Regions from separate parts of the Mus musculus genome. Here region 2 is reported to be linked to region 1. Evidence: microRNA targets listed by miRTarBase, many of them from high-throughput screens and not tested one by one. Region 1 holds a microRNA gene; the other region holds the end of a gene's coding sequence.
The links. Region 1 holds the annotated microRNA mmu-miR-3473b (GGGCUGGAGAGAUGGCUCAG, at 1,567-1,586, opposite strand). A microRNA usually pairs through its seed, bases 2 to 8, with sites in the 3' UTR of a target mRNA and lowers its output. Matches are read on the target gene's strand: a 7mer-m8 pairs with bases 2 to 8, a 7mer-A1 pairs with bases 2 to 7 and ends in A, and an 8mer does both.

Region 2: miRTarBase lists Aoc3 as a target of mmu-miR-3473b. Seed matches in the 3' UTR shown: 7mer-m8 at 2,142-2,148.

What each region holds. Positions count from the first base shown.
Region 1 is chr10:41,668,953-41,672,359 of GRCm38, reverse strand. It overlaps Mir3473b (microRNA 3473b), which reads right to left and starts at 1,621; the gene lies at 1,567-1,621. All of the region lies in intron 9 of Ccdc162 (coiled-coil domain containing 162), which reads left to right.
Region 2 is chr11:101,336,981-101,340,387 of GRCm38, forward strand. Aoc3 (amine oxidase, copper containing 3) reads left to right here. Exons shown (of 4, transcript NM_009675.2): 4 at 405-2,450. The coding sequence ends at 686. Among named protein-coding and RNA genes, the nearest start is that of Aoc3, 8.1 kb to the left of the region's middle.

The DNA.
Region 1 (3,407 bases):
ACTCTGTGCCTGTCTATGAATGACCATGATTGACAATGGAATCACAAATACATTTTAATGAGTAGGTAGAACTGAAAATATAGAATCCATGTTTGAGAAAGTTTGATTGTAATATGAAGGAAAGGAGTCTCTTTTTAAAGAAGTGTGTGTGTGTGTGTGTGTGTGTGTGTGTGTGTGTGTGTGTCACAAGCCTGCAGGCACCACTGTGGGCCAGAAGAGGCATCAGATCTTCTGGAACTTGAGCTATAGGCAGTTATGAGCTGTCTGATGTGTGTGCTGGGAACGAAACTCTGAAAGGAAAGTCTGGTACAATTTGTTGCTGTTGTTTATTCAAGCTGCTTTGGCAAAGTTCAATGAAGTGTGTAGCTAATGAGCAAAGTCACTTTGCTTTTTACATTTCTGGGAGCTAAGCAGGTCTGCCTGCTAGCATGGTTGGAATCTCCCAAAGACTCTTTCAGGCTATAGACTGCTGGATGTTTGCCATTTCCTGGGTGGCAGGAGAGACACACAGCAGCCTTAGGCCTCTTATGAGAGCAAATTCTCTAGGGTTCTACCTTTATGAACGTATCCCCTCCCAAGTCTCACTTACAGCATCGTGTTGCAGGGTGGGTTTCAACATTAATCTTAGAGAGACACAGTCCATCCTGAACGGTGAGCTGGAAGAAAGAAAAGGAAAGGAAAGGAAGGGAAAAGAAAGGAAAGGAAAGGAAAGGAAAGGAAAGGAAAGGAAAGGAAAGGAAAGGGGAAAAAGGAAAAAGGAAAGGAAAAAGGAAAGGAAAGGAAAGGAGAAAGGAAAGGAAAGGAAAGGAAAGGAAAGGAAAGGAAAGGAAAGGAAAGGAAAGGAAAGGAAAGGAAAGGAAAGGAAAGAGAGAGAAAGCTCAAAGATTATTCTCTACCTGGGTTTCTACTCAGGCAGTCAGTGTAGGTGGCACAGACCCTCTGTCTTAGAGTTAACCTCCAAGCATAGATATTAAGGAGGTACATGGGCAGAACAGTCAAGAGCATCCAGCCTTTTGACACTAACACATGCCATTGTCACCTGCAGAGTTGTGCTTGGGAATTGTACAATTGCATTTTTAAAAAATTTGGTTTTGAGGAAGTTTAGCATTTTGTGTGTGGCTGCATTCATAGCTATTCTTGGCCACAGGTGGACACAGGCAGTCTGTACATAGAAAGCTGAGCATATCTATTTGGGCTGAGATATGAATTTGAGAATTATCACCTTGATGGTGAAATATAATTTGTAGCCATAGCATTAAGTTTAGAGACACAGTTTCTCTTCTTTCTTCTCTCTCTCTCTCTCTCTCTCTCTCTCTCTCTCTCTCTCTTTCTTTCCTTTTTTCCTCAGAAACAATGGTAACTCAATCTCTGGGCACAACAATTAAAACCTCACCTTTTTTTTTTTAAGATTGATTTATTTATTTCATGTATGTGGGTACACTGTCACTGTCTTCAGACACACCAGAGGACAGCTTCAGATACCCATTACAGATGGTTTTGAGCCACCATGTGGTTGCTGAGAATTGAACTCAGGACCTCTGGGAGAGCAGTCAGTGCTCTTAACTGCTGAGCCATCTCTCCAGCCCTTAAAACCTAATCTTGGGCTGGAGAGATGGCTCAGTGGTTAAGAGCACTGATTGCTCTTCCAGAGGTCCTGAGTTCAAATCCCAGCGACCACATGGTGGCTCACAACCATCCGTAATGAGATCTGACACCTTCTTCTGGTGCATCTGAAGACAGCTACAGTGTACTTAGATATAATAATAAATAAATCTTTAAAACGAAAATTTAAAATCCTAATCTTATAAGCCTTATTTGAATCTGATTTCTTGGTGGCGAATTCTTGTGGATTCACCATGATACCGGGAAACTCTAGCAGCTACATCTTACCCCTCTGCTGACCTGTTCCAAAAGGGACTAACTCTCTCCTGCTTCTTCTTGTTGTCCTTCCAACCTGGAAGTCCCGCCTACTCTCCCAGTGATTGGCTCCTTTATTCATTAGGTGATTGGTTCACAAGAACAACACCAGGCCCGTCCACAGCACTTCCCCCTTTCTGTTCTAATTAAAAAAAAACAAAACCTTTCTCTCAAATATAAACAGAGCACAACTATTACCATTTTGTAATTTATAAAGTATAAGATAGACCTAATACCCAGTCCATCATTTATGCCATTAAGATCAAACATTGTCATCTATCCAAAATTAAAAGACTTAGAATTCTATCTTGACTTATATCCTGGCTTTAGATTGTATGCCACCTGAAAACCATCCTCTCAAATCTATTCTCTCAAAGTAAATAGCCTGGGTTGACTATGAGACTATAAGTAGTTTTTCAACCCCATCAGAAATCCGAGAATGACCAGCATTAACTGAAAATATATAGGAAGCCTAACAGGACTTCCAGAATTGAGACAAATTGTAGAGACAGCTGCCTGCCTATACAGCCCCTGTAAGTCAGGAAGATGGAGCATGTCTTCAGCCTTCTGGCCCAGAATCATCTGACAGACCTTAGATATACAGAAATATTAAGGACTGCCCTATTCTATCTCAGCAGAACTAAGCTGTATTAACCTGTAAACTGTATCCTTTCAAGAACAGTACAGGTCTGCAGGAAAGACTGACAATTTTCTGCCCAGTGGCTACCTAGCTACAATGTATCACCTCATCTGGAGGTAAGATGCTCAGTTGCTTCTTTGAATCCAGGAATGGGAAGCTGTTAGGAGCAGATTTGTCTCAACAACAAGTGAATAAATAACATTAAATATCACATTCTGTGGATTTCTTACATTTTTGAAAATCAACTATCTATATAAAGTAATCTGGACTGTTCTCTGATAACTACTCTCAGCTATTTCTAATTAAAATGTCTGAAAACACCCTAACAATAAACTCAGAGCCATGAATTTGCTATTTGGCCCTTAACTCACAGGCTTAATCATCTCAGATCAGTTTATAATAACAGTTACAGGAGGACTGGGTCTAAGCCCTATACTTTTAAATTTTTTGTGTCAATAGAAGAAATTTATACCAATGAAAACCTTGATTTTGCATCAGAATAAATTCTGTACCAAAATAAGCAACTATGACTTCAACTTAGTAACAATTAAAAAGATTTCTACAAAATGAGATTATGACTATTCAATCAATTCTAGCTATTTCTCCCTATTCCAATTATGACCATTTTTATATTCTCTAGAAAGACAACCTATAATAGCCCCCCCACAGCCCCAAAGCCCAGGGAACTGGGGCAACAACTCTTCATAACTTCATCAAGCTGAATATGGGCATTGAGATATTTTTAAGGGAGTGGGAGGGTAGGGAAAATAGAGTTGGTTGGCCTTAAGAAGGCCACACCAATGATTTAGTCTCTGATGTCTGTGTCTTGACTGGATCTGGCTGAAAGTCC
Region 2 (3,407 bases), not on the chromosome of region 1:
AGACCACAGTTCCCATCTCTGCCTTGATGGGTGTATTATCCTTCTAAGTCTTGGCCATCCCTGTTCCACAATTCTCTGTGTTATACTTTAAGGACTCTTAGAGAATGAGGGAAGGAAAGCCGAAGTGGCCTGTAGTGAGCGCCCTCTTGGGTGGGTGGGTGAAAGGTGTTGTAATGGGAAGCACGAGAGATGGAGATGCAAGCCAGCCTCCCTCGGGGAGACAGTGGTTGTTTCCAATATGCAATGAGCTTTTAATGTTTATCCTTCTGGGACATCCAAAAGAGACACTGTTTAAAAAGATTCAAGATCTATGGTCTTGTGAATAGCTTCTTCCCTGGGAGGCGGCTGTGTAGAGAGGGTGTGTCTGGCCAACCTCACCATCCTCATTTCCTCTCTCCTGCTAGGACTTGGTAGCCTGGGTGACGGCTGGCTTTTTGCACATCCCTCATGCAGAAGATATCCCCAACACGGTGACTGCGGGGAACTCAGTGGGCTTCTTCCTCCGGCCGTATAACTTCTTTGACGAGGACCCCTCCTTTCATTCTGCTGACTCCATCTATTTCCGGGAGGGCCAGGATGCCACGGCCTGTGAGGTTAACCCCTTGGCTTGCCTGTCCCAGACTGCCACCTGTGCCCCCGAAATTCCTGCCTTCTCCCATGGGGGCTTTGCTTACAGAGACAATTGAACTGTTTCTAAGTATCCCTCCCTCGCTCCTGCTCAGACCATGTGCTCACTTCCCCACGCCATTAAGTGTCCCCAAGATGGACAATCTAGCTAAGAGCTGGGAAGTAGCGCAACAGCCGGGCAGTACACAGAGCAATTCGATTGAAGATCTGGTTCCTTCTGTCCCCACATCTTTGATGTCCCCTCTCTCTTCTGCTGCCCTCCTTGTCTCTCCCTCTCTGCTTGGAGCATCCTGAGCCCATGGAAACCTGATGCACAGGGACACTGAACTTTGTTGGTTGTGCCTGTACTGAGTTCCTGCCTTGGGAGAATAGCCTTGTTGGAGCCTGGAGTAATGGCTATGTTTTGTTTTGCTTTGAATATGGCTCCTTTTCCCCACCCCCACCGCACCCCCTATTTGGCTTTCATTTAAAAGCTTATGATAGCTTTGAGGACTCTGCAATGAGGATAACTCTCTAGAGACCCCCAAAGTAGGGTCTCTCTGAGTCTCTCACATCCACAGATTCTTCATCTACATCCCTTTCCTACTTAAGCCTCTTTCATTTCCATTCTCTCCCTCTCCCTCCCCGCCCCCTCTCCTTTCCTCCCTCCCCCCTCCCTCCCCTCTTCCTGGAGTTCCTGCTTGCTCATACATGCTAGGATTCCTACTCAGTCCAAAAGCGATGTCCGTCCTAAGAGTTCTCTGAGCCCTCATTCTCAAACTGCAGTCTCTTCTCCTGGACCCGAGTCTGTGGAAATCTCAAAGATGTAATGCAAAGCCTCATGGGAGAGGACCAGGCTTTTCTATCTCCTAACGTTCGTCACATATCAGGAAGGAGTAGGGCTTGTCCCTGCGGTAGCCCTGCTTTGCCCTCTTTACAAGAAGATGGAGGTGCTATGATTATGACGAATGGTTATTTTATTCTATGGCTCTGCTCCACTAATGGCTCTGGTCTCTGTGCAGTAGCCTGCAGGAGCCAGCTCGGGACAGTGAGATAGGATGGGGTCTGCCCAATCAGAAGCAGGCATGCAAATGAGCCTGAGTCTGATCTGCCTTGGTGGGACCTGTTTCAGGGTTTCTCTTTGCTGCTTGTCTTTGCTGAGACCTGGACAGGGGCTGGTACACACATGACTCAAAACAACAGATACATCATTCCCTAGCAGTCTGGCCAGCCCCGTTGTTAACTAATGTTATTACTGTAGTTAATGGAAGAAAGGCTGGAAAGATGTGTGTGCACTGTTCTTGCAAGGGGCCCAAATTCCGTTCCCAGCATCCTTATTAAGGTGCTCACAACAATCTATAACTCTATCTCCAGGAGAGCCGGTGCCCTCTTCAGGGGCACCTAAACTTAATGCACATACCTTCACACAGACACATACATATAAATACAAAATAAAAGAACTCAGCCTGGCACGGTGACACATGACTTTAATCCCAGCATTGGAAGTCAGAGGTAGACAGATCTCTGAGCATGAGTCCAGCCTGGTCTACAGAGTGAGTTCCAGGACAGCCATAGCTATACAGAGAAACCCTGTCTTGCAAAACAAAAACAAACAAACCAAAAGAGAGTTCTTTAAAGACAAAAGAAAAGCTAAAAATGAGTAGGCGATAAGTGTACATTTGTTTATTTCTGCTGCATTCCTTGAGAACTGAGTAAGACCAGTTACCTCTGAGGAGGAAGACAGCTGAGAGGGAATCAGGTTCTGCCTGCCCTTCTGAACATCATGGATTGGAACCATGTGATCATATTGCCCCGTCAAAATAAATAAGTGGGCTATACACTAACTGTCTTGTCTTTCCTTTTAAACATGCTGTGTGTGGCTTGCCTGTGTTCTTGAGACCTAGAAAAGTAGGTAGCCTGCCATACAGTCCTTGTCTTTCCTTTCTTGTATAAATTCGGAAGCAATAGCTTCCTCCATCCCCATTCTTTCTCTCGAAGGAGGGAATAATGAGAAGCAATGGAAATGGGGGCTTCTGATTGGCCAGATGCCCAGGCTAAACCAAGAGGTGAAGTGGCAGAAACAGTGTTGGGTGCTGCTCAGTTTCTGACCAGAGAGGCGACAACATTCAAGAGATCAGACACCTGGAACATTTCCCTGACTTCTCTCTGTCCAATCTAATGTTCTCCTAGAGGTTGATGTGGAACCATGGTTGGGGGGCGGGGGGGGGTAGTCAGTGAGCGGAAAGAAAGCAGACTCCAAAGATCAAGGGGGAACTCTTCAGTAAGGAGCAGGGCTAACAGTGGCTGGCTTCATTTATAACATGGTCTGGGGTGGGTAGAGAAGGATAAAGGACAAGCAGATGCTGCAGTGAGGTGGGAGCCAAAGGGCATGTGCGCTCAGTTGTGAGTTCTGACTTCACTACACCACATCCTTCCAACCTAAAGAATTCAAGTCTCCTTTATATGCCCATCTTTTTGTTCCCACCAGGACTGGCTAGTTTTATGTCAACCCTACATAAGCTAGAATCGTTGGAGCCTCGATTAAGAAAATGTCTCCATAAGACTAGGCTGTAGGCAAGCCTTTAGGACATTTTCTTAATTTGTGACTTATAGGGGAGAGCCCACTGAGGGTGGTACCATTACTGGGCTGGGTCTGTAAGAAAGGCTGAGCAAGCCGTGGGAAGCAAGCCAGCAAGCAGCACCCCTCCATGGCCTCTGCATCAGCTCCTGCCTCCAGGTCCTGCTCTGTTTGCGTTCCTGTCCTGACTTCCTTCTATGAGGGGCTGTGCTGTGAACCTGTG